2 linked regions of the Drosophila melanogaster genome follow. The protein of the gene in region 1 interacts with the protein of each later gene in a pairwise test. Each region holds a gene or a part of one and is shown on either strand. Other genes may lie near its edges.

What was found.
Region 2: the proteins of Ets65A (region 1) and CG1603 interact in a two-hybrid assay, tested with the Drosophila melanogaster proteins (one large-scale study listed by BioGRID).

The regions. Positions count from the first base shown.
Region 1 is NT_037436.4:6,095,604-6,100,639, reverse strand, and holds the start of Ets65A (Ets at 65A), read right to left. Parts: upstream 3,024-5,036; 5' UTR 2,169-3,023; intron 172-2,168; 5' UTR 111-171; coding exon 1-110. Other genes in the region: loj (logjam), read right to left, coding at 4,378-4,434, 4,489-4,656, 4,728-4,991.
Region 2 is NT_033778.4:7,513,313-7,518,357, reverse strand, and holds CG1603 (uncharacterized protein), read left to right. Parts: upstream 1-1,967; 5' UTR 1,968-2,093; coding exon 2,094-2,390; intron 2,391-2,451; coding exon 2,452-2,715; intron 2,716-2,775; coding exon 2,776-3,138; intron 3,139-3,194; coding exon 3,195-4,031; 3' UTR 4,032-4,512; downstream 4,513-5,045. Other genes in the region: CG1602 (uncharacterized protein), read left to right, coding at 1-333, 391-1,344. UniProt on the Drosophila melanogaster protein: Chromatin-binding protein involved in the organization of active promoters and insulators. Essential for the activity of heterochromatin promoters; primarily binds to specific motifs within promoters of housekeeping genes.

The DNA.
Region 1 (5,036 bases):
GAGCACTGTCCGAGTGCAAGGCACTCCTCCGTTTTCACCTGGGCGAGAGTCGGTGGCGATACCCTCTTCAGGTCCAGCGCCGTCTGATACGAACAGGAGTTCTCGTACATGGCGCACGCCTGGGGAGCCTCGATGGGTGGCTGTTGGCTAAACAAGGGATTCCACTTGACTCTGCCGGAGAAAGTAATAGATAGAACAAATTGGTTTTATAGTACTTATAAAACTGCGAAAATTACAAACGAAAATGAATATAAATGAATACTTAGTACTTATAAGTTACTAAAACTTAAGATATTTATTCATACACTCTTGTACTCTATTGGTAGTCAAACCAGAAGATTTAATTGCTTTAAAGTCCAAGTAAACTCCATCACTCACCTCATGGCAAATTGCAGAGCGAGATATTAATAAATCATAGCGCGTGGTCCACAATTAAATACTGCAATTTTAGAATGCCTCTCGGGCCAAACAATCGCTCTAATTGCCATGGCCCCAACACGTTAAGCTAGCTACCCGAAAACCCCCCCGATGTTCTGGCATAATTAATAGTGGCTACTTTGGAGCTGTGGAGCTAGTGTTCCCTTAGATATAAGCACGACGTGCATAATTATCTGGCTCGTTATTTATTGTGTGTACAGTCCCGCTTTTTGCACTGGGCCAACGTTGCGTATGAGCGTTGAACTGTGCGTGGGTGGCGGCCATTTGAGCGTGGCTCTCTAATGTCCAGCTGGTCGAAGCTGGGGAAGGCGAACCATTGTTTACTGGCCCTTTTCGGCCAGTCTGCAGTTAGCACACACAGGGGGCATGCAAATTTTTGCACTCTGCCCTCGTCGGAAGTTGCTGAATTTTGATTTATGCCAACGAAATTTATGCCATACAAAGTGCGACTTGTCCTGTCTCTGGCTTAAAGTACACCAAACATACCCGAAATGAAAACTGTAACTGAAACCCCAGCAGCTTTAAGTTTGCCGGGAGGAGTAAATAGATTTCGTTATCGAAACGGTCGCATCTACAGAACATCATCAACTTTGCGCCTTGTCAGACATTATAAACGGCCTGCACACGCCTCATTTATTATTTATTATTTGTACTCAGGCCGAGTGGCTGCGTTTGCATGTAGGCAAATTTCACCAGCGAACATTAGCAGGCAGACATTTTATTTTTTTTGTATTCTGGTATCCTTGTATTCCCCAAGTTATCACAATCGCTGAGCGAACGCGCGCACACCGGAAATACGAGCGGGATGCCAGGATGTCGGTCTGCAGATGGGCTGAATGCTCGTCCCGTTCTGCAGCGCGTGCTGAGTCCTTTGAATACCACTTGGTATCGCTGTGATTGCCGAGTTTATGCTCTTCGACAGCTGTTAATGGTGTAATCCCCTTGTTGGACGAGAGATCCTTTAATTAAGAGGCCACACGTTTGGCTGCTCTTTAATGGTTTGTAAGATTTTTATGCGATTTTAGGAAATTAGGATTTTTGAATGTTTGCACAGCCGACTGGTTGATGAAACTGTGCTGCTGTTTAATTGTCAAGCTTTTACCCAATGATGCTGCTGATGTGCTTTTTTTCTGGTTTATGAATACTTCCGTTTTAAGTCTACTAATTCGATTAGCAGAAACATATGCTTCACAATTATCTGATGATGGTGGGGTGAGCTTTTTAGGGGTTGGATAACTGTCGTTAGTTAGAAATTAAAAGCAACCATCTAAGTTCACAGGTGCTGTATCTAAGCGCTCAAAATTCTATGTAAGTGGATTTAATTTATCAGATCAGAATGTTTGAATAGAAAGTATCATAGTTTACAAATATCTTAGAAATTCGAAATAAATTCTATCAAAATATTAAAGTTTATTATTGTAATTATTCTTTACTGACATTGGTTATAAATTTTTAGATTTAAAATAGACTTCAACATGTCTGGTATTCTGAATTCGTACATTTCAAATATTTTTATGCATTTAATATTTTCCCCATTTTATGCTGGAGATTTTCCCCATTTAAGCCTAGGAGTATGTTTTCAATTTTTGAATAAAATTCTACCGTTACGATATTATCTTTAATTTACTTCAACTTTGGTTCAACAAAGCACTTAAAAATACATTAGTTATTTAGGACCCCGTCGGAGTTCTGAATCATGTTGATCATTCTATAATTCGAACATAACTCACCTCAGGATTGTGCCTGTATGTGCAATAAAGTTTATCCAAAAATAAGTCTCCTCTTTGACTGTCTCTTAAACTTCCGTCGGGACAACTTAAGTTACAACTTAGTAATCTTAAACACTTCACAATCGTTGGGAATCGGTGCAGTTAATCACTCACTCAAGTGCGTACAAATTGCCAACCGGAAATGAAATTATTGTCAAAATGGCGACGGATATGCGACAAGTGAACGCGACAGCGACGCGCCACGCAAATGACGGTTTTGTTTGCAGCCAAAGTTTCGTAGTCCTGGAGCGGATATGCAAGGAAATTTGTCACTGCAAGGACGATGACGGCGACGACCACCAAGCCAACTGGACACCGACGGCAGCGGGCTCCTTGGGCATTTCTCGATGTCTTTTCGCACAGGTGCAGGTGCACAAAAGGTGGGTGGTGGTGGGTGGCGAGGGGTGAGAGGTTCGCAACGAAAGCGGAACGAAAATGAAATCAAAAAGCGAAATTTCTATAATTTCCGCACAAAAATTTCCGCGACACACTGGCAGGACACATGTGTGTGTCCTTGTCTGTTTCTTTTTCGTGCGCTGCCACGCCCACAGCCAGCAACAAGCTGGGCGTATGTGTCCAAGTTTTCCGCACTGCTTGCCGTGTGTAAGTGTACAAGTGTGTGCCGTGTGTGTGCTTTGTGTTTTTTGTGGTTTTTGTGCCTTCGTTTGCCGCTTGTGCTGACCAAGAAAGGTTCGCTAGTTTGGTCCTTGTCCCGGGAATATTGACGACGTGTGACCGACGAATCTAAACCGCAAAGTACCGCTATTATGTCGTCCGCGACGTGTTGCACTTGGTAGCGCGCACTCCAAGTTAATGTGGCGGCCAGATCATCCCGTCCAGTCACCAGTCCACGCTCAAAGATGGCGACACACTCCTCCCACAAGCGGTGGCTCTGTGTGGCAGGGGAACTGGGCGCTATCACCGAGGATGTGTCACCCCATCGTCCTGCGTTTCTGCGGCGGCTAATGCGCAGGCGCGCTCTCCGCACCACAACCCCATCCACCGCCCACTTTGCCGCTGCTCTGTTATCTGCCGCTGTCATCGGCTGCTGGTGGGCGGAGCCAACTCTGTGCCATCGGGGATGTGGATGTGGATGTGGCTATGGCTGTGGATGCTCCTGCCTTTCGCCGGGTCCTTTGCTCCGCGTTCTTGGGGCATCATTAGTGCTGCCGAAGAGAGAAGACCCCATTTTGGGCGGAAGTGCGTATGAGCAATATTTTAACAATGGCGTTTAAAACAGTTAAAGAGCGTGTGCTGGTGTGCGAGGCCATTAGGACCTTAGTTTTGCGGTGGCTTTAAGGCCCGCAGATAAGCCTCGCATAATAACATTTTAATTTCGAGCAGCAGTGGCCACAAAAGACCCGCCAAGATACCCAGATGCTCCTGCTGCCTGCCAAAAAGGATATAATTAACATGCCAGCTGCTGCAGAGCACACACACATGTGCTAAATGACGTCTAGATAAGCGGTGAGCCTGGTGACATGATTTAAGGTCCTGCGATGGATGGGGCAGGATAATTTGCGATAAGCGGCATTCGGGGTGATTAATTTGCCAGCCCAAGTTGTGGAATGTCTTCGAAATGTCTTCAGCTCTCAATTTAAACTAATGAGCTCATGTACAGCATGTATTTAATATTTAAGATTGGTTTTAGGCAACGAGAAGATGTCTTTGCAACAATGTCGTAATTTGAAAATAACTTACTCCCATATAAAAAGAAAAACAGGTTTCTTAAAACAACAACCTGAATTATATATTTTTAAGTTTAAAATCCTTTCCAGGATAATGAAATTTAACGGTTAAGTGAGCTTACCAAAGCAGCTTAACTTTAAAGCTTGTAGAGCTTTTAGTAAATTAACAAACCCAAATGGCTTCGAATAAATCCTTAAGGTTCTTTCCCAAATAAAACAAAGCAAATACAAAAATCTTCAATCTTTTAATTAAACAAAACACACAAATGTACACTTATCACAATAAGTTTTGCTGTCTATAACTCGTATGACATAAGTAGTCCCAATTATAAAAAAGTCTGCTCAGTTGCGCTTGATCAATTAGCCAGTGATAAAATAAGTTACAAAAACTCATTCAGCAGGTAGAATAGAATGAATGTCTTGGAAATGCGGATGGAATTTTAGAAACATGTTGCGAAGTCTTTGAAAAGTATCTTTGCGCCTTAGATGCGACTTTTGGAGCTCGATTTTACTTCAAATAGTTTGCGCACAAAGAATACCTGCAAATATTAGGTTATTAATTTAGGAAAAGCAAAAAACATGTCTATACTCGCCTGTACAGAGCACGTGATCAATATGACCACAATTTGGCTAATCGAGAAGGTTTGAATATAGGCATTGTTGTCCAGGAGCAACGCATAATCACGCGATTCGCGATGACGACTGTGGGCTTGATAGCCCATCATATCGTTGATGTTGCGCTCCACAGTGCCAACGGTGGCCTAAAGAAATAGATCAATGTGAATATTTGTAAATGGATGTTTGGGTGTGTCTGAAAACCAGTTTGGCTTACAGTGAAGTTTTGCATGTTCAGCTGCAGCTGCTCGATCTCCTTGGCGTACTTGTCCCATGCATCGTACTTCACCACCGTGATATAGATGTTGACCAGCTTGCCAGCGAATCGGGAGAACTGGTTGTCAATGCAGACGGAGTAGTAGCCACCGGGCGATACCTGATCCGTGTAGTCCGCAGTAGCCTGCCACTGGTAGGGCTTCACCACTTCACCAGCAGGATTGCGGACGGCGAAACCAGCCATTCCATCGCCTCCGCGCACCACCTAAAAAAAATTTATATGAATAATTTCATTGTATTAGATAGATTA
Region 2 (5,045 bases), on another chromosome or scaffold:
CGAGATCACCGAACCATAAAGTTCATAGAGATCTACAAGGAACACCCGTGCCTTTGGAATCCCGCTCACAGCGACTACAAGGAACCCAAGAAATGCAAAGAAGCCCTGAAGCGTATGGCCATTGACTTGGAGGCAACTGTATCCGTATTCCTGAACGAGATGGCCTTAAAGCTGGCCATCAAGAAAGTCCACATGCAGTTCAACACCGTGCACAAGCGGGTGGTGTCTGGAAAACAGAAACCTCAATCGCTGGCTTTCAGTATATACAAATTGTGTTGCTTCTTGAACGCTAGCAACGATGAAGAAGGGGCTACGAATAACGAAAAAATTAAGGCAAGATATTTGAATTAATTCAAATTGAAATTGTTAACAAGCATACTTTGCCCGCAGCTTGATTTCTCCAAGAAAAACAAGCTGACTACCGACCTGATAGAGATGTACGCAAACTTTCCGCAGCTATACGACTCCAACCACAAGGAGTTCTCCAATATGAGCTCTCGAAAACAGGCATACGAGAGCATGGCTGCGGAAATCTCAGTGCCCAATGTGGACATCAACAGCGATGACATATTCCGCGCCATCCAGAATCTCCGCCAATGGTACTACAAGAACACTAAGCATGCCATTTATGCCGGAAGTACAGCCGAGAAGTTCTACCTAGAGGTGTGTCGGTTCATGCCTGCAAAGATGTACAAGCAGCGGCTGGTCTGCGAATTTTGCCACCAGATTACGTCCTCGGATCATGTCCTGCAGTCGCACATCTTCAAGGCGCACAACATCGGCGAGCTGCCCTTCAAATGCACCTTGTGCGACCGAAGTTTTGTGGGACGTTGCGAGCTGGCTAATCACATACAGCGGGTCCATATCGGCAAGACCCACAAGTGCACCCATTGTGAGCGTTCATTCGCTGTGATGTCGGACCTGCAGCTGCACATCCGTACGCACACTGGCCACAAGCCTTACGTCTGCGAGCATTGCGGCAAGGCCTTCCGACTGCGGTCCCAAATGACGCTCCACGTCACGGCTATTCACACGAAGATCAGAGCCTTCAAGTGCACCATGTGTCCCAAAGACTTTGTGAAAAAGGTCGACTTATCGGATCACATCAAGGGCCATTTAAACATCCGCGACAAAATCTGCAGTGTGTGCGGTAAGGGATTCACCAGCTGCCATGCACTCATCCGACACCGGCAGATTCACTCCGAGGTGAAGAAGTTTGTGTGCAAACTCTGCGACTCCAGGTTCTCCCAGTTTGTGGGTCTTAATACGCACATGAAGCGCACCCACAACATTCTTCGTAATAATTCACAAAAGGGTAAAGATGCTGTGGATGCAGAGAACTGAATTTGATTAAATTTGCAATAAAATGACAGTTTATAAATAGGCAATCTTTTGCAAATGGGGGGAAATAAAAATACACAAATGAGAGTGAAACAATATGTTTAAACAAATTTATTTATATAACGGTTTAAGAATGTATATTAATAATTAAGAATATAAATTCTACATTATCTGGCCATGTCCATCTGTCGAAATCTGGGGATGTACATCTAAAAGCCTAAACACATTCCCCTGCCTACGCTGCGCTATTTTTTCCAAAATGTTGGCACGCCCACAAGGCGCCGACAACTGTAACGCCCATACATTTGAAAAACGTTTTGGTGTTTTCCTGTTCATATTTGTCTCGCTATTTTCTATCGATATGACAAAAAAAATATAATTTCTCAACAAATAAGCTTGATTGATTTTGATTTTTCCAAATGGTTAGTACTAGAATTTTATAACATTTTTTTTCGAAAATTGAAATGTACTAGTTACTTTAAAGATTCATTCATGAAATGCAGATTTTTAATCATTTTTAAGCACCACCAACAGTTGTTAAAACGTTTTCTTTTAAGCCTTCATAAAATTGTGTTTAAATATTATTTTAAAAATAGATTTTTATCGAATAGTCTATCGATACATAATTATTTCAGTCGTTGTCCAACACAGTCCCAAACGCATAAAAAAATTGTTACCTTAAATAAACGAATATATTTTCAGAAAAGGAACATTTTTCAAGCTGAAGTCAGATCAGAGCGCACAACGTAAGCATGGAGCTGTGCGGCAATGTGATGACCAACTCCAAGTACGAGATGTTCCGGCTGAAATGCCTCTACTGCAGCATAGAGAGCGAGCTGAAGGATTGGGAGCTGTTCATCGTCCATGTGAAATCGGCGCACTACTGCGAAGACGAGGACGTTAGGATTAATGAAATCAAAGAGGATACCGAGGAGCTATACAGCGTCGTTGACGCGGCGGACCCAGCCATCGCCTATGGGCCGGATGAGTTCTTCGAGGTGATCGAAAACAGCAATGGGGTCGATCAATGGATGGAAGCTGATAGCAAGGTAAGACTCTTTCACTCGCTTACCAAGGGTGGTCAAATAAGTGAGCTCTCGTTGACCGCAGGATATCCAGTACGAGGAAGACGCCACCGCTTGGTCTGCAGCTACAAACAATTCCTGGGAGTTCGGTCCAGGCGGCAGCTCTTTGGAACTTCCAGCCGGAAAGGAAGTCACACAAATGGACGAGTCTTCCCAAAATCACATACCCCTAAACACAGACGATGATGATGTTGATTGTAGTGACTTCTTTATGTCTGAGGATGACTTGGCACCTCCTAGAAAACCTGGACGTCCGCCCAGGCGAACAAGACCAGGACAGGTTTTCAAGGTTAGTACGTAGTATATTTCACTTAAGCTGAAATTCATTCCACTTAACGGCGTCATTCAGTTCAAAGTTTCGTTTATTCGGAGCAATCCCCGTGTGCTGCATTTGATCCAAGCGTACAAAGAGCATCCCTGCCTGTGGAACCCTTCCGATGAACACTACCAGGACGAGCCTGCACGAAGCATGGCCTACGAGGCGATAATGGAACGCATGGACCGCAAGGCCAATGTTCTCTTCACCGTGGAAGAACTGAAGAAAACGCTCGAGCAACTGCACGTGCAGTACACGCTGGCTTTGGAGACAAAACAAAGGGGAAAGCTTGTTGGACTTGCAGCGCGTTACTTTGCCAAGTGCGAGTTCCTCAGTGTGGCGCCTGTTGTAACGCCAAGGGAGAACGAGGAGGACAACGACTTGACTGCAATTAAGGTAATAACTAGCCCACTATAATGTAGCTCTTTTCTGACCAAAAATCCTTTTTTCAGCTTAATTTTAAGGAGGAAAACCTGATAACCACCTCATTCATAGAGACCTATGCCAACTATCCCGTGCTGTATAATCAAGCGTTGCCAGACTTTGGCTCAATAGAGATACGTGCAGATGCCTTCAAAAGAATGGCAAAGGAATTCCAGCCAGTGGTGAAGGCCAACGAAACGGACGTTTACATTGCGGTCAACAAGCTGCGCCGTTGGCTTTACGATGCCATTCGTCGCCTCAAATCCAAGGAACTAATTCAGAAGTGCAGCAAGCAAGAGGTTCAGTATCTGCAAATGTGCAGCTTCTTGCCCGCCAAGGGTTCCGAAAGTCAGGTGCTGTACTGTGACTACTGCGATAAACGTTTCCACGGCGACTACAACCTACGGGTGCACATCGTCAAGGCGCACGAGGTGGGCGACCTACCGTACCTCTGCTCGTTCTGCCCGAGGCGCTTCGACCGCCACGTAGACATGGACCGTCACAAGCTGCGTTCCCACTTCGAACGCAAGTTGAAGTGCCAGTACTGCGAAAAATCGTTCGCCGTGGATACCGACCTAAAGGTGCACACACTAATCCACACGGGCGAGCGGCCTCACGTCTGTGACATCTGCGGCAAGACATTCCGGCTCAAGCTACTCCTGGACCACCACGTCAACGGAGTTCACCTGAACATTAGACCCTACAGCTGCAATATGTGCACCAAAACCTTCCGCAAGAAGTTCGAGCTGGCCAACCATATCAAAGGACATCTGAATATCCGTGATAAGAAGTGCGAGTACTGTGATGCTACGTTCTATGACCATTCTTCGCTTTCCAGACATCGCCGCAGCCACAGATCGGAATGAACTCTCGCCTTGAGGGACATTTTTAGAAACTGCTTTATTTTTTGATAACGAGAATCAGTAAGCTTCATTTGATGTAAATCAAGAATAAACTTACGTTAGAGTAGTGATAATAACAAGCGTGTTGTTAAGCACTTACGGCTTTTGTGTATTTGATAAGAACATGTGTATGATAATCATATGCACAAGCTTTTCCTTTTTCATACTTTCCTTTTCAAAATTTGGTTTAAGGAATGTATTATTCATAAAAAAAAGAAGAAGCCGGAAAAATAAGTTCGTTTTAAGATAAATTTGTATAACCGTTACTTGTAGAGGAGATATTAGAATAACATATGATTTTTTGGTTCTGGCTCTAGATCTAGAGCTGGCTTGAGGCTCTCCCGAGTTTTTGTTCAAAAGTCAGAGAGCGGAGAGCTCTAGAGCTAGCAGCTCTATTATTATTATTTTTGATCAAATGACGTGTACAAAATTTTATATATATTCATTTTTAACAATGTATTTATATTTCTTTTATGAAATATATTTTTTTAAATGTATTTTCCTTTTTGCCAAATTTATATTTTTAATTACAATAGTTATAATAACGATTTAAGACTTTATTTAGTTTATTAGCTTAAATAATGATGAAAATAATTTTTATACGGTACAAGATACTGCTCATAGACCCTTGTTGAAGTATGTCGTCAGTGCAATTTTAAATATTTTTAATTATAAGCAAAAATAAATAAGCGGTATTTAATTAATAACAACTCTTCTTAAAAGAATAGTCAAGGCATTAAATTTTAAATAACTCTGTAGTAGATCGTATTGCAACAAGCTTTGACCAAAACTTTAAATATGTATGTATGTACCTTCGTTTCTGAGATCAAAATTGATTTCGAGACGAAAGTTTTCTAGCACAAGTATGCTCATATACACTTTCTCGTTTGTTGTTTTAACACACACAAGGAAGTACATTCTATTTTAAGAAATTTACGCTCTCCATTTTACGCGTGCGGAGTGAGATCAATTTTGGCC